2 linked regions of the Arabidopsis thaliana genome follow. The protein of the gene in region 1 interacts with the protein of each later gene in a pairwise test. Each region holds a gene or a part of one and is shown on either strand. Other genes may lie near its edges.

What was found.
Region 2: the proteins of OFP1 (region 1) and KNAT7 interact in a two-hybrid assay, tested with the Arabidopsis thaliana proteins (2 studies listed by BioGRID, with this or other methods).

Annotation. Positions count from the first base shown.
Region 1 is NC_003076.8:319,861-330,388, forward strand, and holds OFP1 (ovate family protein 1), read left to right. Parts: upstream 1-4,567; 5' UTR 4,568-4,691; coding exon 4,692-5,504; 3' UTR 5,505-5,818; downstream 5,819-10,528. Other genes in the region: SAUR21 (ARM repeat superfamily protein), read left to right, coding at 1,123-3,147.
Region 2 is NC_003070.9:23,332,153-23,345,157, reverse strand, and holds KNAT7 (homeobox knotted-like protein), read right to left. Parts: upstream 7,992-13,005; 5' UTR 7,691-7,991; coding exon 7,409-7,690; intron 6,511-7,408; coding exon 6,390-6,510; intron 5,836-6,389; coding exon 5,636-5,835; intron 5,542-5,635; coding exon 5,410-5,541; intron 4,951-5,409; coding exon 4,810-4,950; 3' UTR 4,466-4,809; downstream 1-4,465. Other genes in the region: NRS/ER (nucleotide-rhamnose synthase/epimerase-reductase), read right to left, coding at 1,299-1,754, 2,199-2,648; AT1G62981 (transmembrane protein, putative (DUF1191)), read right to left, coding at 10,334-11,365; EXPA18 (expansin A18), read right to left, coding at 12,224-12,536, 12,718-13,005. UniProt on the Arabidopsis thaliana protein: May be involved in secondary cell wall biosynthesis.

The sequences.
Region 1 (10,528 bases):
ATAGATATTGGAACTTTGTAGACATTATTACAATAATTAATCCAATTTTTTAAGTCTGTACATCAAGGCATTGCGTATGAGTGGTGCCATTGCAATCCATATAAGCTACATTCTATTGTTTCTCAATTTTCAACTATTTAAATAGATACCCAATAGCCATTATATTAAATTGACACTGAGAAGTGCGTGATGATTCTTGATTTGTTATGTGGATCTTTTCTTTGGTTGACAACAACAACAAGAAAAAAAAAAATTTAAACAATAATTTTTTTGTGTAAAATTTTAAAAATGCAAACATCTCATAATTTGCTTTAAAGGGAAACTACTCGTTTAAAATAAAAGGAAAGGTAACTTTGGTAATGGAAACATTTTGTTATATAATTTGAGAAATACTACTAGTATTCAATAATTCACCGGAAAGTGGAGAGAGCCAGCAGAGCAGATTCAATTATAAATTATGAAAAAATTAGAATGATTAGTTATGTGAGTATATATAATTTAAATATATTGAAAAAGAGAAGACGAGATCAATTCTCTCTAACAAACTTGTACCAACTGTTGCATTCTTATGTCACCAAAACGAAGACCTTATCTTCATTCTTACATTTCTTATATATTGTAATCAGTGTTGCTCGACAACTCACGAGGCGTGTAGGCGTGTGTTATTCTAAAAAACTGTAGTTATGGAAGAAAATCCAAAGCAGTCATTAGATAAAACTGGTTTTAGATTAAAACTAAGCTAAGTTATGGCCTATGGGTTAGTTGTGAAATAAAAATTGGGTTTGGTCTAATTTCGGCCAAAAAAACATTACCATAAGAGAAAAAGTCAAAAGAGAAGGGAATGTTTGACCTCTCGCCTCTCGTGCTCCTCTGTAAGGCGGCTTTGTCCTCTCTGCGACTGACTGACTTCTTCTGACGGCTCCGTCCACCGTCGTCTCTTCTTCCGTTACGACTTTTTCTTCCAATTAAATAACTTTAACCAAAGGAAAATTTGAAACGCCAGCTCCTCTCTCCGTGTAACAAACCAACAACTACAACCAACAAGAGCTTAGAGCTCTCTTTCTTTCTTTCTTCTTCCTTTTCTCTTTTCCATTCCTAAACAAAAGTCTTTCTTCCTCATCAATGGCTGTTACTCTTGATTCTCCTTCTCCGGCGAGAAAACGTCGCCCTTTGGTCGTCGGGTCATTCGAATCTCCGAAGCTTTCTTCAGATACCAAACTGACTCGGTCTCTGTTTCTGGCGTCTCATGAGATTTCTTCTATGCAGCCTCTCCCATTCATTCTCCGACGCAATTCTCTCTCCCTCATTCGCAAAGTGAAGATATTAGCTTCCGTCTTCGATGAGCTTCTTCTCCCTCGTTCCCAACTTGTCGTCTACTCTCAATCCGCTCATCTCTGCTTCGAAGAAATGCAAATCGTTATGCAACGTATCAAGTCTTTGATCGATGACTGTTCTCGTGTTAGCAAACTCTGGCTACTCTTGCAGATCGACATCGTTGCCTTCAACTTTCACGAGCTTGTCACCGATTTATCCACCGTTCTTGATATTTTACCGCTCCATGACTTTGACCTCAGCGACGACGCCCAAGATCTCATCTCTCTCCTTACAAAACAATGCTCCGATTCTGTTCAGTTCGTCGACGCCCGCGACGTTGCTCTCCGTCGTAAAGTCACCGATACAATCGCCGGGATCAAGCACCAGATCTCACCGGATCACTCTACTCTCATCAAGATTTTCAACGACCTTGGTTTATCCGATTCTGCTAGTTTGACCGACGAAATTCAGAGATTGGAAGACGAGATTCAGGATCAGATCGACGACAGATCCAAATCCGCAGCCGCCTCTCTTATCGGACTCGTCCGTTACTCTAAGTGCGTCTTATACGGTCCCTCCACGCCGGCTCCAGATTTCCGCCGCCACCAATCCTTATCTGACGCTAACATCCCCGCGGATTTCCGGTGTCCGATCACCCTCGAGCTGATGCGGGATCCGGTGGTGGTTGCCACCGGTCAAACATACGATAGAGAGTCCATCGATCTTTGGATCCAATCGGGGCATAACACGTGTCCGAAAACAGGTCAAGTCCTCAAACACACCAGCCTCGTACCTAACCGTGCCTTGAAGAACCTCATCGTTTTGTGGTGCCGCGATCAGAAGATACCGTTCGAATTATACGGTGACGGCGGCGGAGAACCTGCGCCGTGCAAGGAGGCGGTGGAGTTTACGAAGATGATGGTTTCGTTTCTCATCGAGAAGCTCTCCGTGGCAGATTCTAACGGTGTCGTGTTCGAGCTCCGGGCGCTCGCAAAGTCAGATACTGTGGCCCGAGCCTGCATAGCCGAGGCTGGAGCCATACCCAAGCTGGTTCGTTATCTAGCCACAGAGTGCCCGAGCCTTCAGATAAACGCCGTTACGACGATCCTAAACCTATCCATCCTGGAACAGAACAAAACGAGGATCATGGAAACTGACGGAGCTTTAAACGGCGTCATCGAGGTTCTTCGTTCGGGTGCCACGTGGGAGGCTAAGGCTAACGCAGCCGCGACATTGTTCAGTTTGGCGGGCGTCTCGGCATACAGAAGAAGACTCGGGAGAAAAGCACGTGTCGTAAGCGGATTGGTTGACTTGGCTAAGCAGGGCCCCACCAGCTCTAAGAGAGACGCGCTCGTGGCGATCCTAAACCTGGTGGCTGAGAGAGAGAACGTGGGGAGGTTCGTTGAGGCTGGGGTAATGGGAGCCGCAGGAGATGCATTCCAGGAGCTACCGGAGGAAGCGGTGGCTGTCGTGGAGGCGGTGGTCAGGAGGGGAGGACTCATGGCGGTTTCTGCCGCTTTCAGTTTGATTCGACTTTTGGGGGAGGTGATGAGAGAAGGAGCGGATACCACAAGGGAGAGTGCGGCGGCAACGCTGGTCACGATGTGTCGGAAAGGAGGGTCGGAGCTAGTGGCGGAGATGGCGGCTATTCCAGGGATAGAGAGGGTTATATGGGAGATGATAGGAGCTGGAACGGCCAGGGGAGGGAGGAAAGCGGCGTCATTGATGAGATATCTAAGACGGTGGGCCGCCGGAGATACCCATAACACGGCGGCGGAAACGCAGAGCATTGTAGTGCCAACGCCAAGTAGGATTTTTAGTCCAGTTTTATGATTTTTCATTTTTTTGTTTTCCCCTCTTCTTCTTGTGTAAAGTTTAAATGTTTTTTTTTTCTTTCCTGATGATTTGAAAAGAAATTGATTCTTTTACAAAGTATTAAAAGCTGCAATTGTAAATGTAAATTCGAGAAAAGAACGAGAGATTTTTTCCCTTTTACTGGATGAACTTTACACAGTGTTATGATGTTGTTTACTAATCTCTCATAACTCATAACTAGTGTTTTGACAGGAACTAATAAAAATCTTGAAAGCATATTAGAGTTATCATATGTGTGTGAATAAAGAGACAAAAGAATTGGCACAAAATTTCAACACAAAAGACAGAGCAAATCCACAAGAGATATACACACAAGCATGTTCCTAAAGGAGTGATGATGATTGGAAATGGAACTGATTGCAAATAGCAACAATCTTTCTTCCTAGAGAAGCAAACCTTTTTGTTTGTTGTTTTTTTACGTTTTGGATCTTTCGAAGCATTAAATAAAATATCTTCTTCTTCCTTTCCCTCTTTTTTAAACGGTTAATTTTATTACAGAACTATTACAAAACCAGAAAACACATTTGAGGAAAAGAGTGACGGTGTTGAGAATTTATGAAGCGGAGTGAGAGACAAGAAATATGTTCAAACCAAAGAGTGAGGTTGGAGTTTTTCATCGAAGCAGAGTAGTTGATGTTTAAGGAAAAGCTGTTCTGTAACTTTTTACAACCATCAGTTAACCATGGCAGAGAACAAATACATAGAGATGTAACGTGTTATTTTTTGTTTGTTTGTTTAAACGTGTATAAAATGACCATGAATAAGTTGGCAAATTTGTGTCTCTGTAATATTATTATTTTTGGTTTCAATTTGACAGATTCTTTAGTTGGAGTTTAAAATTGATGAAGAGGAAAATATAAGAGGTGCTATCGTTAAGTGAAACTATTGGGCCGAAAACATATAGGCCCATTTTAAAATTTTGGTTTGTTTTGCAAGAGATCCCAGATCTCGAAGCGTGCGATAATGTTTGAAAAAAGCAGGTTTCTCTCTTCTTTATTTGTTGTCAAACCCAAACACCTACTTACGGAAACTGTAACACAATAAAGTGAGTGACCACTTTCTTTTTTTACACTATCGATGATACAACTTTTTAATATCATCGTGGTGCACATTTTAAAAGGATTACAATGACCACGATTAAACTAGTAATTAGTACATATACAAACTAGTAATTACTCTATTATTTATTTCTTTGGTACGAACACTACTTGTGTATTACTATTACTAAAACATATAATAAAAGTGTCAGTGTCAAATGTCAATGTAATTTAATTTAGGGGAAAATGAAATGGCCAACATAATCTAACACAAAATCAATGAAAATGGAGAGAGCATCTCACTCACCTTATAATAACCTTTATATTTTCCACGTATGTGGGCCCCCTCACATAAACCTCTCTTTCCTTTATAAATTCTCCACTCTTCACACTCTCACTTTTGTTCATGTACCAAAGAAGTCCCCAACAAACACAAAATAATCAACAGAGAGAGTCAGAGAGATAATGGGTAATAACTATCGGTTTAAGCTATCGGAGTTAATCCCTAACGCTTGGTTTTACAAACTTAGAGACATGTCCAAATCCAAGAAGAAGAATCTTCAGAGCCAACCAAATAGCACCACCTCCAAGAAGAAACACCACGCAGTCCCTACTCCTACGTCCACAACGCCACTCAGTCCTAGGCCTCCTAGGCGCCCTTCTCACTCTTCCAAAGCGCCACCCTCCCATCCTCCCAGGAAGTCCTCCGGGAACCGTCTTCGTCACCGAGCCACCGTCGACTCTAAGTCTTCCACGACTTCCGGCGACAGCACTACCACAGAAACAGGTTCTTTCTCACCGGACTTTCGCTCGGATCAAGTTCTCCTCCCCGACGAGTCATTAACGGGCTCCTGGCACAGCCCTTGCAGCTCCAAGTTATCCAAAACCGCAACCTTTACGCCGCCGCCGGAACTCGAACTCCGGCCCATCATTACCAAAACGGCCGCCACCGCACGGAAAACGGCGGTGAATTCTCCGGCGGGGGTGAGACTTAGAATGCGGTCGCCGCGGATCTCGGTGAGCAGCAGCGCAAGAAGAAGCGGGTCGTCGGCTCGGCGGAGCAGGGCGGTGGTGAAGGCGTCGGTGGATCCGAAGAGAGACTTTAAGGAGTCGATGGAGGAGATGATCGCTGAGAACAAGATAAGAGCGACAAAGGATCTAGAGGAGCTTTTGGCTTGCTATCTCTGTCTCAATTCAGACGAATATCACGCTATTATCATCAATGTCTTCAAGCAAATCTGGCTTGATCTTAATCTTCCACCACCCCATTCCAAATAATTTTATTATTAAGAAAAAAACATCTTCTTATATAGTATTAATTACTCCTTAATAATTAATCGCTCTACTGAATAAAAATGTAAATATATATGATGTTGATGATGATGATTCTTGTACTAACTATATTTATATGTAATAATGGTCTAGAGAGAGCCTACAGTCTTGTACTTGCATAACGGCCATCGTTGATGATATCAAGTACAGGAATTTTCTATCCGGATTGGTACTCTTCTACGAATCTTACTTTGCACGGACAAGCAAGTGTTACTTTAAATCAAATTTTGAATGTGGACGACTATAAACCTACTTTTGCGTCATCAATCATACTATATATACAGCTCACTCTTCAAGTCTAAATTTTTTAAAAGAGATTTAAAAATGATTGGAAACTCATTCATTGTGATCATGAGTTAGCAAGTGTTCATGTTGACAACAATTACTCTGCATCACGTTATAGACTAAGACTAATAGTGAACGTTTTATATTTAGTGTATCCATTATATTAGACCTACGATGCCGACAACTCATTAAAACAGCATCTGCGCCTATTTTCAGACCTAACTTTGGATATGTGTGTACGTGTGCATTTCTCAATTTCACACACATCTATATTTATTTATTTATATGTGTAGTTAACTTTTTAAAAAATAAAAAAAAATTGACCACGACGTATTGTTTTGTATAATATTTATATGTATATGCATGCAGTGCATAACACATACAAACAGTGCGACAAGCAAGAAGAAAACAAAACATTTTTACTTTTAGGCATATAAGTGCCAAAGAAAACAAAAAATCCAATTGGCTGTTTTTTATTTATTTATATCAGTGATGGGTGACAAATGACGAGAATATATAGGAAAAGGTAACATATCGGAAAAAAAAAAATTATATGAATATATGTAGATATTATAGTAAAATAAAATAAAATTAGTGATGAATGGTTCTTACTGGCAAACTTTTGCTTCTGTGTTTTATGGTTGTATCGTTATCATGATATTGATGTCATTTTGTTTTATGTAAATCTTCCATGAGATTTTGGTTTAATAGAGTTAAACATCAATCTTAAAAGAAAATTGTGGAATTCTTAAAATATAAAAATAGGAACTGAAAAGGAATCTCACGCGACATTAAACTGACAAAGCATATTTTAGGTTTTATGGGTTTCCAAGGAAAGAAGCAGATTACAAAACGAAACTTGCTCGTTGATTTCTCACCGTTATAAAATAAATAAATAAAAACATATACTGTATTATCAAACTCCTCAATAATTTTTTTTGCCAAGATTACTCTTAGATCCTTAGGTATTGTTGTAATATCTTTACATTTCATTTTCAATGAAATTAACATTCATAGAAAAAAAAGAAAAAACTGTATATCATGAAGATTATATTCAATTATAAATGTTCACATTCAAACTAGACTAATAATTAGTAGATATGAGTAAATTTAGAATTATGTGGTAAGATTTCTATTGAAATACATTACAAAACATCAACCTATATATTGAATAATAATAATAATAAATCATATACGTGTGCGGAGTTAAGTACTGTTGCACAAAAGTGAATATTACACTGACTGAAGTTCAAAACAGGGACCAAAAAAGGTGAAGTAAAAAGTACCCAAAATCTATCTCTCTTTTTTTCGATACGATAATACACACTCATACAAAAAAAGGTTCAAAAGCTTTGTCGGGCACGCCGGCCATGGACTACAACGAATTTTTTGTAAAATTGTTAAGAAAAATTACAACAATACTTTTTTATATAAATAAAAATATAAGTACAACAATACTTTAAATTAAATTGTTTGATATCATCGCATGGTAGTAAGAGTACACAATAATAAGTATGAGACGTTTATACTCCCAGATTTTTAATTTAAGTTTCTTGCTTAAAACATGGACTTGTGATGTACGGGTACAAAGACAACAATTTACAAAGATCTGAGATACCTATTAGAAACAAATTATAAATGTATAATAATGTGTTTCTTTACTGGTGGTGGCCAGTGTCCGTGTGATGTACGGGTACCCCCACCACTATGAATTTTCAAAATCAGCATTTCTAAATATAATATAATATTGATATTTGGACTTGACTATACCTATATCAACATACAATTAATTTACTTGTTTCCCGGTAAATAGTATACTTCGAAAATAAAACCATTCCACAACGAAATGATGTGAAAACTCTCACTTGGACATAAATTATGATCCCTTTGTAAAAAATTAAGAAAGAGTATCTTGTTAGAACTGCGACGTATCATAGACGCGTTTTCTATTTGGAATGATATATAAAAGTTGTTTTTATTCGTTTGTCTCTCCTTACTTATCACTAGCACATTTTTAGATAAAGTTGTAAGTAATCCACAAGGCACAACTTTCTTTTTCCGTGAAATGTTTTTGTAAGTAGGGCCATTTCATAATTACACAAGATAGAGAAGTACATGTCAACGAATTTATTATGTTTTATTTTTAACATATAAAACAATTAGAATTGTAAAGTAAATAGCAACCAAGCCGAATGTTGCAAAAAAGATTGAGGAGTATATGACACTGTTAAAACGGAACTGTATAAACCTAACCGAGTGACAAAAATTATGTACATTACATATTATGATATGAAGTGAAAGAATCAAACCCAAAACTGAATTGGACAACGTTACCGTGGTTATTTGGATGTAAGCTACGTACGAACCATCTCTGCATTAAATAAATTGGAAGAAGAGTTATATATAGACTAGTTATGTAGAAATTATACGTGTTATAATAATTTAAGAAGTTGATCGAGATTTCGAAGAAGATGTAATAATGGCGAAGAATTGTCGGTGAGCCGCAAGTGGAGACTCGGTCAACGACCATTTAACTGAACTTGCCTTGCGCGCGATCCGACATTATCACCGGAGATTCTGCGTCTTGTGACCTTTGTCTCTCCGCCGTCCATATTTTCATTTTGAATCAAATAAAACAAGTACACGACACACCAAAAACAAAACTACTATTACATTGGGTTTTCGTTTTGCAAGAAAGTCACCGAGGTTCACAGTTTCTCAGTGAATTTAGTCGAGCGGTTTTTTTTGGCTATTGATGATGGTACATGGCGTGCTGAGTTATTAGTATACCTACAAAACATTTTCTTTTTTGAACAAAACAAGTTTGAAATACCATTTTTTAAATTGTTTTGTCTTCATATCGTTAATTGGGATGATTGAAATCAGTTACCGTTTGTATGACTTGGCAAACATTAAGCCGTACCTAGCAAACATTATGTGTGTCCTTTTCGGGTCCTAATAATCACTGCATGAATTATTATTCTTATACTACTCTTTATATATCAATTAAAGGATGAGGCCGAAGGCAAAATCGAGTTACCACTTTGCACGTGTTACGGACTTCGTGCATTTCACATCAGAACTTTTTTTTCTCCTCTTTATTCATCGCACAACAGTTTAACAAGTTTATGACATCTAATGCAAGAGTAACAGAAACAACAAAACAGAGGCCATTTTGTATTATGTTATTTATTATTTTACCTATCATCGCTGCGTCAATTGTCAAATCTCTTTATGGGATTTGACTCTTGCGTGAAATAAAACCACATTTTAGTATTTTTTTCGTTTTTATTTGGATAAAGACAATTTACACAACCCGTCTGTGCCCATCACTCTTATAGATTGTTTTTTTCCCCTTTTTAAGTTAGTCGAAGAATTATGTGCCAAAAATCAATACATCTTTTGTGTGGATATAAATCAGTTTATATTATAAGTCGGAAATTTCAAAGACTTAAAAATTTTTAGAAGGTCCGAGAACTCGCCATTGACCCAAAATTTATTTGGTCCTTAAAGTTGTTAAACTCTGAAATCAGTTTTACGCTCATATATTTCATTTTGTATATGCAAATTTAAATTGCATCTAAATTACTGAAATATTGTTATGCATGCAAACAACGTTGGTATTTGGTAGCCATAAATATTAGCTGTTTTGTATTTTTAGGTGTTATATACATATTACATAGCCTTAAAAGTAGTTATACTTAAGGATATTTTTCGCCACCGTATTGTTTAATAATATTAAAAATTCGTATAATGCACGTGTCTTTGGTACGTCCATGCAAAACTTGTAATGCGAGACGACGAAGACAGACGACACGAGGAACAACCAACGCTACATGAACTGGACCACTTTTTTAATTTAAAGTATAAAATCAATGTCGTTTGTTGTTTTGTGTTTCTGTTTCAACACCGTAAACTAAAAGTTTTAAAACATTTTCATACAGTAAATTAATGTTCTTCTTTAACAGAAACTAAGTTAATTTTTCCTTTTAACAGAAAACAGAATAAGTTACCCTTCTACCCAAAAAAATAATAACTTTTCAAAGAATTCCATTATGAGTTATAATTCCATTAAATTTAATATGATAATGGAACCCACATTATTGAATTAAGTTAAAAAACACGTATGAATAACTTTTTCTTACTATGAACACCCTCACTTTTATATAAAGACACCAAATCCTTCCATCGTAGATTCATTTCGGTCCGCTAGCATTCTCGTTCAATTAGTAGTCAACCAGTAACAAAAGTAATAAATCCGTTTTTACGTGAGACATTGCAGAGCTTAGAAATAAGAGAATATCATTATCTATGTTTAGAAGTTTCAATTCGAAAGTAAAATGAGGTAGTGTAATATGCAAGAGACATGAACTACTCATTCACTAATAACCAAATAATCTCGAGGATAACCATGAAAATTAACACCAAAATCATTACAATTGTAATTTACGTATTTAGTTTTCATAGCAAATTTTGAAACTTGTGATTTTGAAAATTTTATGTTTGGAATGACATTTTGGTACATTATATTGGATAACTATTTGTCTTTTGTAGGTGTTTTTAAGAACAGATACATATACAAAGATTTTGTTGTTTATTTTCTGGTTCAACCAACACCTTTAGAATATATAAAATCATTAGTGGAATTTTTTGCTGCCTAGTTATTCAATCATTAGTTGAACAAC
Region 2 (13,005 bases), on another chromosome or scaffold:
CCTCACACCAATCTAGAAATCTAGAACAAGAAATGGAATTAGCTAATGGTCTAGACTTCAACTAAAACTCGTATGTTTCCTATAAGTAAATTAATCCTCTATTTCTTATCATTTATTGGTCATTTTTTCTTTTTTCTTTTGTCTCATATTTTGAGACTGAGAATGTTTTATAAGAAGCTTTTGAATAGATTATGTGAAATCGTGATTTTAAGTATAAAAAAATGACATGGTGTACTCACATGCATGCATGATCATATCAAACACATATTCTGTAATTCGGCTTTGAAAGGTGAATTTCATCAGACTATTGGACTATGTAGAAGTTTTGCATTCCCTTCTTTTTATCAAACAACCCTCTCTGAACTTTTATTACCAAACAAAAAAAAATTCTCACAACCTGAGAGTGTTTCAGGAAAATCCCACGTGCGGTCCTCACGCGCGTTGCGCGTTGCGTCATAAACGCCAGCTATAGTCCACGGATTTAGGCCACTTTTAAGCAAAATCCACAACTGAGCCCAATAGACGCGCGTGGGTCGAGTTTTTTCTTTTTTCTTTTGTCTCATATTTTGAGACTGAGAATGTTTAAAAGAAGTTTTTGAATAGATTATGTCAAATTGTGATTTTAAGTATTAAAAAATGACATGGTGTAGTCACATTCATGCATGATCATATCAAACACATACTCTGTTATTCGGCTTTGAAAGGTGAATTTCATCACTCTTACAATAACGATGCAAAGTGTGTTGCAAAATCCAAAGAAAAGTAGTATTTCAAGGAGATTCCAACTAAATCAATTGATCTTAATAATGGAATGATCGTCAATTTTGGTGTTTCAAACTGGATCCGGGACCAATGGAAACTGAAGTTTGAGGAAGTGAGTAGTGACATTCATCTGTTTACCAAAAACGCTAGCTGAACAATGCAGCATATGCTGGAAACTCTGGCAATGTTTCATTTGTTTATCATATTTACGTTCCGATCCAGATTTCAAATGTAATATTTTAGGCCAAGGCTAAGATCTTTCTGATCCTCTGGATGAAAGATAGTTTGATTAACAAGAGTAAATAATGCAAAATAGTACATTTCTTATTTGTAATGAAACAAAAGTTTATTTTAACAATACAACAACATTGGGAAAAAGAAAAACAAAAAAATAAAATACAAAAAACACAACAATTTTTTCAGCCCATAAACCCAAAAAAAAAAAAGATACTTCTTTTAAAAACCCAAACTTTTTTTGTCTTTCATTTGATTTGTTTTTTTGGGGTTAAGAACCGTTTACCTTACAAAACCACATTTCAAGCTTTAACTTCAGTCTTCTTGTTGGGCTCAAACACGAACTTGATCAGAGACTCTTTGATAGACATCAACTCAGGGAACTCAGTCTTCAACTTAGTTGCATCAAGCTCATTGTTACTCCTTGGCGCCACAATCACTTTAGCTTGTTCCTCCAATGTGAAGTTCTTCCAAGTAAAACTCGGGTCAATGTAGTCTCTGTACATCTCCAAGATCTCGTTGTGGCTCACAACACCCGGGTTAGTGAAATTGTAGATCCCGGTTAAGTTCCTCTTCGCCATTTCGATTGATATCGGGAGAAGCTCATCGAGGATTGTCATCGAGTTTGGGATGTCCACAACTTTCTCATACCGAGCAATCTTCGTGATGAAGTTTCTCGGGTTTGTTAGATCCGATGAAATCGGCATTCGCACTCTTAGCGTGCATACATTTTCATAGTTCTTGAGCAGCTCCTCCACCTGAATGATTCACCAAGATCAAAACCAGATTCCAACAGTCAATACACGAGCTTATCATGATAATGATTATATGAATCAATAAGTTCTGGTCAAAGTATTTCATCTGGAACATTTTTATTGCTAATTTAACATCTAAGACCTAAGCAATCACAAGTATTGAAACCAAATTAGCAACAGGTCAAATCTGAATAATGTCCTAAGTAACTAAAGGGGTCAAAATGTAAATTAACGAAGCTCTCACAAGTCTAATCTACAATCATCTGAAACAATTTGAGAGCTAATCTTACATTCAAAAGTCAAAACCTCAACAATTCACACAAATCAGAACTTAATTTACTAAAAAATCTTAGATTTTGGGGTTTACTCAAAGAAGAAACTAAAGATACAGATCAAATCTGAAGTTATTCATAAATAAAAGGATTGAAAATGTAAAAAGTTACTCACCATAGCTTTGGTTTTAGAGTAGAAAGATCCGGTGAAATTAGGAGTATCCTCCTCCTTGAATCCAATACCCGACCCGAGAGGATGACCCGAATCATACTCAAATATACAACCCGTAGCGTAATTGATCAGAACAAGTCCTTTCTCTCTGCAAATGTCAGCGAGAGTTAGGGTTCCGGCGACATTAGTACGAATCGTCTCAACTTTGTGAGATTCGCACCAATCAACATTAGGACGACCGGTGACTCCAGCAGCGTTGAACACGTGGCTAGGTTTCACGGATTCGATGTCGGCGACGATCGATTGACGATCTTGAAGACGACCGGAGCCGTAAGTGTAAGTGATTCCTTGAGCTTCGCAGAGTTTACCGAGTAAACCACCGATCCATCCGGTTTTACCGTAGATTAGGAAGTTAAATGAGCTTGATGATGAACCGTTTGCGTCTGCAACCATTTTTTTTTTTTGTCGGTGATCGGAAAGTTTTCGCCGGAGAGATATAAGAGAGAGTGTGTGGATCTGAAGGAGATGGTATAGGGAGACGTTGTGATCGGTGTTGCTTCTTTTTATCCCAATTTCTCGGGGAAGCAATAATCTTTTTAGTTTTTTTCTTTTGACCACCCATCGTTTCTTATTTGAGATTTGTGACCCATGAGTTTTTTTTCATGAATATTTTAGGAAATTGTTAAATTTAGGTGACATTACCAAAAATTAAGCAAAACATGTGTAGATAATTGGAGTAGTGATAAATTTTTGTTATTGAATTTAAGAAAATGTTTTCATTAGTACTTATACAACTAGTTAACTTAAATTTAACATAAAATAAACAAGTTATCCCGTTTTTAAAATTATATGATAAAAATAGTTCTATGGATAAAAAAAAATGCTATTAATATTTTTATAAGAAAACTTGTTATTATGTATAAATTTGTTGTTACTTTATACACTTTTAATAGCATAATGTAGAACTTTTATTCAGTAAATATAAGAAGACTTTATAAATTTTATTTCGTGGAAATGTCATTGAAAAAAATGTGTTAGTAGGAATAACAAAAAATTATTTCAATATATGAATATAATATGTGACAGATCACCCTAAACATGAATTATTGTGTTTCGTAGTGGTTTTGTGTGTTTAAAATAGTTTATTGTTGTCTGAATTTTAGACAGAGATCTGTGAAAGCGGTGGCGTGAGAAATTATTAGTTAAACACAAAGGAGATTCCACTTCATTGGGTGTCTGAATTTAAAATATGTATTATTCGTTGCAATTTTAATTAAAGAATCTCTTTTTTTTCTTTTTACCACCCTTTTTCTGGTCAACTACTACTCATACTATTTTTTAATAGTGAAAATTAAAAAGTTCGAAGAAAAAGAAAAAAACACTTAAAACACGTTACTGTTTTGAATTTACAATTCACAATTATCGACTATAAATGCGTATATTATATTAAGCATCCGAATCTTATGAGATCAAAGAGCTAACTTAGCAAAAGAACCCGTTAACGAATCGGTAACCCTTTAAACATAGTATCATTTCAATAAATATACAGATACATCTCAATTACAAATTAATGTAGTGATTTATATCATATTCATATGTACATAATTCCACCGATTTTTGGTACTAAATATTGTAATTGCAAAGTTTCTATATATATTGTAATTGATTTGACATCGAAACTAATGAGGTTTAAACCAAAGATCTGGATCTATACAACATTTGATATATTAAGCATATAAAACTCCAAATGTACAAATCCCCCTGCCCTTAAATACCATACACGTTATCGAAAATATATACGTATGTCACTAACATTCATTTATTAAGCAGTCAGTCCAACTTCTTTTGTCAAATTAATTAGTAGTTTAATGTTATAGTAATCGGGGGTTACCATAAGGCATAAAGTAATGTCTTTACTTTTATATATATATATATAAACAGATCGGATCTTCTGTCTGAATCGTAGTGGACAAATGATGGCGGCATGTGGTGACTTTTCTAAGATAGTAAGATCCCAAGTTCTCAATCTCAAGAGCTATTTTTTCTTTTTTAATGAATACATCATATATCTATTTCTCGGTCTAGTTGTGTTTGTAAACTCGTTTGAAAATATTAAGTTACACAAATCTTGGTATCAAATAAAGAACTAGAAAACTATACGTTAATTAGTTTTTGAGAATACCAATAATCTAAACTGGAATTAAACTAATCCATTTTTATGGACGATTTCTTTCATTGATCGGTCCAAAGATATTATGATATGGCTTATATTTTATAAAACACTGCCTTTTTTGTCGGCATCATTACTTTATATTTCCAAATGATGGTCTAGTCATCCACGGAAAACACGTTACAAAATCAGTGTTCTTACCAAAAAGATAAATTTGAATGCACAATACAAACAAAATGAATTACAATCTAGTAACAACCAGTAATCACGCAACGCACAAATCATATAGTAGTCGGTGGATCTAATAAGCTAAGTAAGTACATGATATTAATGATCACACCTCGTTATTATCAGTAACATGAATTACGTATGTATCATGCATGTCTTAGCAGTGTAATTAGTATGAATATATGTAGAGGTAGTAACTAATATAGTAAGAAGAGATTAGTGTTTGCGCTTGGACTTCAAGGAAGTGAGGGAGTGAGAGTTGTTGTGCCAATTCCTCTTGCGTTGGTTAATGAACCAATTGTTGATTTGCTTCAACTGCAATCCTGTCTCCTCCACCAATTTTGCCTTGTCATCTTCCTGTTCAAGACACATATTTTTTTACATTATAAATTTGTTGTTGTTAATGACATTTTAGGAAAGAAAACAAAAACAATCAGTTTCAGTTTCAACGAAGAGAGGCCAATGCATGTGCAGATCTGATAGCGTCAAAGGCTATTTCTTTTCCACTATAGCATGCAACTTTAGACTGTAGTCCACCTTTTTGGCTTGTGCCAAATATTGAACGGGAGAGAGATGTATAGTGTTTTTGAGTATTAGTAACAAATTCAGTATGTTTGAAGAATAGAAAAAAAATGCATGTTGTGACTTTGAGTGTAACCAAAATGGGTCTTGATTGTTTCTTTGCATTTACATATCTATCTTCATTTGTTGTTTCATGTTATAATGATTATCATATTATTTCATGAAAACGTAAACCCAAACAAACAATTAGACGGAAACTATATTTGTTGTTCGTAAAATATAGAGAGTACTCACCGTAGGGTAAGGCCATTTGCAATGTTGTTGCCACCAATTTTTCAAGACAGTAGTTGTGTCTCCTGGCAATTTCCCAGCCCTTCTCTTCCTCATTATCTCTTCTCTTACATCTTCGATTCTCGATTTAAAACCCTTATCCGAAAAATAAACAAACGTCATAACAAGAAAATAAATAGTAAAATAACTGTATTACTATTGTGAATCATAACATATTAGTTAATTATACCTGTTTGAGTTCTAGTTTGAGTTCTTGTCTGACTCTTTCCATAAGGGATCTTTCCGATTCAGTCGGTAGCAACGGACCAAATCCCGTCATATCGTGGCCGCCGCTAAAATCAACGCCGGAATTATCTGACGAGAAATCCATCGGAAGATCATCCTCATCCTCCGACATAGTCGCACCCGACCCTTCTCCTAAAGTTGCTCCTACAAGAATACAGAACGTTTTAAACGAAATGTTACTCCAACAGTCAAACTACAAGATTTAGACGTCAAGCCCAAGCCCAAACTTAGGCTCAAGCCTGATATGCCCTTACGCATACAATAATCCTAATCAATACATCCCACGCTTTACGTGGTCATCAGTGCAAAAATAAATATTTTTAATAATTTCGTATAATTAAGAAATTTCATCTTTAGACTAATCATATAATATAACTATATAAGCACAAATAAAATCTCTATTTCTTATTGTGTGGGCATATAATATACTCTTCCTGATCATCTTCCAACACCTTACATTTAATATGTTTACTAGTTGTTCATATCTGGTATGATCAGCAAGAACCTTTAGATATACCTAACTCTATTATTTGTTTTAACTATCGCTAATTTTTAACAGGAATTTTAATTATATATATCTTAAGTACTTTCTGATTCTATAGCTATGTGGTATATATAATAACATGTAATTATCATGAAGTTATGTTTTTTAATTGGGTTATAAAAAATACCATTAAAAAAGTGGAAAAGAAAAGAACCTGTAAGAGAATGAAGGTTGTTCTCAATTTCACGGCAAGCCATAACAGCTTCGACGGCATGAACCCTCACGTGCTGTTGCAGCTGTTCTTTGAAGCTACACAACACCATTACATATTGTGCCTGTTTCCAATTAATTATAATTGTTAAATGTTTTATATATCCTCTCACATTTCATATAATTATTCAATGTGTAAACATTTTCCACATATATGCATACACACATATAAATATGTGCTTCTGGTGTGGTGTGTTTTGAGCGGTTAGATCATTATATAGTCCTATTTTCTACCTAACTTAAATAAATATAAATAAAACCGAATTTTTTTGGAACATTTCACAAGCTAATTCCAAAATTATAGTTGCAATATCAATTCCAACTTTAATGCAATTGCAAATTTTAGGTCGGAGTAGAAAATCAATCGTAACTAACATGATAATATTCAAAGTTTAAATAGAATTTCAATTTAATTACAAAATGACATTTAACATTGACTCACTCTATGTGAAATTTAGCACCTAACTATACAAAAAACCATATCTACATCTATGTGTGTGTATTATACATTTGAACATTCGTGTGAAGATACATAAATTTCCATGAAAGTTGAACAAAACCACTTCTTCACAAAAATCAGGTAAAAAAATACCAATAACTTAAATCATTGGAAAAAAACATAATTTGTTTGAAGTATAACTTCCCACAAGAGGAATTAGTAATTATAAAATTTATAGAAATTGTTGATATATTGACAAAAGGTTTACATCTTCGATCGATAAAACTCCCAACGATCTTGTAAAAAGTAAAACACGAAAATCATTGAAAAAAACATAATTTGTTTGAAACATAATTTCCCAACAGAGATTGGTTAGTAATCATAACTTCATTCAAAGTTAGTCCACTAGAAACCATCAAAAAAAAACTTTCAAATGAAAAAAGATAGAAACAGAACTTGTAAGTAATTTAACCAAACAAGATTATTTTTTAAAATATAACTAATAAATTTATATTCAAACGTACCAAGAAATTATCGAGCTCGTGACGATCATGATGGTATCCAACGGCCGTGGAAGCGTAAGAACGGAGAAGATGATGAGATTGAGAAAGCTGAGCTTCAATGATCGGAAGTTGATCTATTGGAGTAGCTACTCTTAAACACGCCACGTGTGCGGCTAATAATTGCTCATACATCGGATGTGTCGCTATCTCACCTTTCAACTGTCTATTCTGCTCCGCCACGACCGCGGTGTCTCCGTCTCCGCCTACGGTGGCTCCCATCATACCTAGTGCCGCTTCTTGCATAACCTTGACACAAGACCGGAGAGAGATACTTTTTGTGTCTGATCAAAACCCTAATTCTTGAAGCAGATTGTGTTCGTATGATTAGAAAAAGAGAGAGAGAGAGAATTGTCAGATGAAATCAACCTATATAAAGCTGTCCTGATTTCTTTCCCCTTTAATTGTTTTTCACTCCATTCTTTTCTAAAAATATACATTATTTGTTTATAGATTATTTTGTCTTATTTGTATACAAAATACATTTAAAACAATGTTTGTTATACACGGGTCTGGTCCGGCCATACCATATATTATTTTTACATAGATCAAATTATATTGAAAGTATTATTTTTGTATTGTTAATCGAAAGACTGAAAACTAGAATTACTAATTTTCATCAGATATGTGAATACAAACACACGGACGTTGATTGTTTTATACGGTGATTGTTATCTTTACAATTAATCTGAATTACTTTAGTCTAGAAAACTGCTACTATATATATGTTTGATTCCACAATATGCTGATATATACCTTGACGTAAAGTTATGAAAAAAGTGCACGTTAACAACGTGCTTTACAAAAATCATAAATACGTGTATATGTATGTATATAAAATGTAAACTTAAAATAAAAATTAAAAACACTTTTATTTTCCTTCTCGTGACAATGATTTAAGACCTAATAAGTGATCAACAACTTGAACTTAAAAATTAGTTGAAATTTTGAAAAAGAATGAGGAAAATAAAATATCTTCCCACCTTTAACGACAGGACCGGTAGACACACCTAATCCTCTAACGCCCACTTAACAAATAGTATTAACACCTAATTGATAATACTATTTAATAGTATAGAAATATAGTATATTTGTTTTCTTCTTTTGGTAAAGAACAAATATAATTAGTTATTCTTTTAAAATATTAAATACTCAATTACGTGATACAGTTAAATTTTTTTGGACAAAATGTGATACAGCTTTGATGCACCATTTCTTAGTCATATAACCTTAAAACAGTAACACTCTGATAATTTAATTGCAGTATTATTTGATAGATAGAAAAATGCTTTCATATTTTTCCTAGTTTGATATGAAGTTAATATAGCACACAAACAATAGTTTGATATATGAACTTTAATATATACTAATAGTTTTTAGCTAGAATTTCAGAAATATCCATAAAACTGAAAAAAAAAAAATTGATGTGTTGTGAAACGTTGTTAAGTCCGGATACTCTTGTGGCATGGTTTTTTGTAACGTCATGTAATAGTTCCGTTCAGAATTACAAATCTTCTGAACATACATGTTGGACGTTAAAAAAATTATTTTTCCACTTCATCGTTTAAAAAAATATATTCTTAAATCTTCTGGTTTTCCTCCGGCTTGGCATATTGGAGCCAATAGCCATCCAAGTAGTCTTAAGTTTTTGCAAAAAAAAAACTGCAATTAATTACAAAAACTAAAATAATATTTCATCATAACAATGGAATCCTTGGTCGTTGTAATTGCATATGTTGCATGTAGTTTATATCGTAATAGGATTAGATCAAATATTTTTAATAATGCCAATAATACATGACACAAAAAAAACTAAAATAATAGCACATAATATATTCTATAAACAAAAATAAAAAATACAAATTAAAAGAGGATTTTGCATATTATTAAATGAAAAAGAGAATAATGCACGCCTTCACCAATATGGAAAAACTACTTTCCATTTCTCCCTTTTTATGTAGTTATGTACAAATTCCCTTTTGTTTTACGCAATGACATCAAAAATATTCGTTCGTATAGAAAAATGAAAGAAACAAAATAAAGAGGGACAAAGACAGAGTTGGTCGAACAAAGAAAAGAGGGACAGAATTGTCGTTCTCTTAAGCCTAAGATTTAAGACATCTCACATCTGAAACAATTTGTGGTCCTATGAAAACGACTTCTCAACTTATAATAATGCTTTTGACACAAAAAAAAACTTATAATAATGCGGCCATTAATCAGAGAACAATGAGATACTATTAGTGACACGATACTAAGTTTTAGTGATTTAATGTACGGGCCATATAATATTGTGAGTTTGGTGGACCTAAAAATAATTCTCATTGGGCACTTCATTAAGGTCTCAAAGCCTAAACACTTGTACACATGGGTTCGTAATTGTTTCCGTGTGTGATATTACTAGCATAAAACGTTTCCTAGCTATGTGACTCCTCAAAAAAAAAAAAAAACTACCATTTGATTAGAGGTAGATTTTCATCAAACATATTGTATTCTTATGAAGACGCCAGACGGCATATTTCATCAAATTATAATTCTTGATGCCTCGTTAATTAACGTGTAGGCAACGATCATGTTGTTTTTTTTGGTGTAAAAAATGACCATGTTTTATTGTTTATCAATGACTTTGAATGTAACTTTGCTCATTTGATTTTCTTTAATAGTTACTACTTACTACTAGGCCACTAGCGGTGTTACCTTGTAAATTCATCACCGTGAAAGAAAGAAAAAATCATCACCATACGTACCTTACTTGTCACCAACGAAATATATATATATGTCCCAAAACCCCCAACAACATGCATTTTAACATAAATTAAAACCGTTTTTACAAAAGAAAAAAAAAAGAAAACAATCCACAAAAACGGAATCACACGTAAATATAATTAATTAATTAGGAACAAACTCATATTCCATGAAACCTGGAGAAGTCCTTGTAGCAGAAGCAACGAAAGCCCTAGAATGCCCCACCATTGACACTACTCTAAAAGCTTCTTCTTCATAAGCTTTTCTCTCCATTTCTTCCCTTTTTGCCCTTCTTCTCCTTTTCTTTGCCGTCACTACAGCAGCCGCCACCACCAGCCCTAAAAGCACCACCCCCACCGTCACAGACCCAACAAGCCCTCCAACAACCTTCCTCCACCGTCCGATCTTCTCCTTCTTCATCTCCTTTTCTCCTCCACCATTCGATTTTGGATCATCCGTCACCACTAAACCAAAATGTCCATTGGTTTTAACGGCGCACACAAACGGCTTCACTTCGGCGGCAAGCGTTACTTTTCCATCAAGTTCAAAAGTAGCGCACATTGGCTTATTCAAGAACGTTCTCTCTACCACCGACGGTCCAGAAACGTTCCCAAAATCAACGTTGGATGGATCTTTAGTACGGGCTAGGAGGAGACTTATCTGATAAGAGCTACTCACGTTATTCCCTAAAACAACATCGTTTAATGCGTTATAAGCTAAGAGCCCTAGAACCGGAGACACAAGTCTATAACCGGAGAGATCATAGTTTTTGTAATATATATCGGACCACTTTGATCCCAAGCTTTGTCTCACAACCAAAAGACGTTCACCACACGGCTCAAGAATAGCTCCAACGCCAATATTGAATTCTTCGATTTTTGCTCCGTATCGTCGGAGACTCCCACACCGGAACCTAACGGCGTCAAGTTTTATGCCGGAGTAGTCAGACGGGAGATGAACACGCCGAATAACACCGGTCTTGATAGAATAATGTTGGTTCTTGAAGAAGTTGAGAGTGTAATCTCTTAGAATGAGATCAAGAAGCCTTGAGGATTCATTGAGAGCTTCTTGAGTAGTAGTAGTAGAAGTCGAACCCTCTAGATGAGAGGGAAGGAAGAGGAATAATACGATTATTATTAGTTGAATAGAGGGAGGATAGAGTGTTAGTGTTACCATTTTCGATATTGGTGGAGTAATTGTTCACGTTTGAATGTTGAGGTGATGAGAAGATGCGATGAAGAAGTGTAGAGGAAGAGTCGATCATGAGAAATGAGTTTCTCTTTTCTTTTTAGAGCTTGGTGAAGGCTTTGGATTGAAGGGACAGGTTTGCTTTTATTTGATAGATATATTTATGTATATATGTATATAGTTTTTATGCTACTCCATATGATTTCTTGGGGTATGAAACTGTAGGCGGCGTGAGATTGTTTTGAGTAAAGTGTACGTTTTATAGAATATATAATTTTCTATTTTTTAAATAACTGACGTTTCAATGTTTGTGTATAACGTTCTTTTACAAATTTTTCATTTTTACTCTAGTCAAATTTAATTTTAAGTATTAAATAGATCAGAATTATAAAACAGCAATTATTTTCTAAGAATGTACTATTATTGTATACAAACTCTCTTAATTCGCATCAAAATTTGTCAAACGATCTTTATATTAAACTGAAGTGAGTATCATACATTGGCGAATCATGATCATATCGTCTAATCGTTATGTCATATTTATTGATAACTCTTGAATTAGAAAAGTCATTTTCTGATAAGAAAAAAAGTACCAATGATCCCATCAATCATTTTGATGCTAATATATGAATGAGAAGATAATTCAAAAATTTTAAACACACATAAAAATCAACAAATTTTCCTCAACCCAATGATGGATATACAAGAATTAATGACTACCATATAACCAAAGGGAGTTATTCATTAGAAAAAAAGGATCAACCTCTCGATCGATCGGACTCAACAACAAATGGCAAAACCGTATATTCAAATAAACCGGTTTCTCGGAATTGAATATGACCTAAATTAGTTAAAATTAGCCTTGCTCTGGTAGGTCTTGCCCGCGCTCCAGCTTGCCGGAGCAGCATTATAAGCGTAAATGGTCTGACGAGTGGTGTAAGAGGTGAGCCGGAACGAGAGAGACTGACCGTAGAGAGAAGAAAAGGCTTGGTACGAAGCTCCCCAGTTATGGCTCATGTTGATCCACCCTGTGCGGCTACCTTTAACGGCCATGGTCTTGATGTCACCTGGACCACCTACGTTCATCACGTACACAAGTAGCCAATATCCATTTCCTTCAAATTTGAACCTTATTCCTCCGATCTTCTTACATGCCACTCTGCATATATATATCGACATAATCATATTTTAGCATTTGCAAATGGTGCATTCAAACAAGATATCATTCAAAATATTTGACTATAAATATATATAATTTCACTATGGTTAAGATAAACCATTTCTTTACGTTTTCAATCTACCTCTATAATTGTAATGCTCTAATGAAATGTGAATATTACCTGCGATATGAGACGGGGATGATACCAGCCTTCCAGTTAGCGATCTTCATAAAAGCTGGTTTAGTCAAATCAAAATGGACTCGTGGCGGATTACACCATCCACCATTGTTGGATGCTTGGCCATAATTTGGTGGACATATGTTGGTTGCAGTTACCACGGTGGCTGGTGACCCGTAGTAGCAGTTAGGCGACGACACACACTTTAACTGGAAACATTGACCGCATGCATAACCCTCGTTGAACAGGGCTGTGCTCAGCGCAGTCGTGGCTACCCCGTAGCCGCTGTCA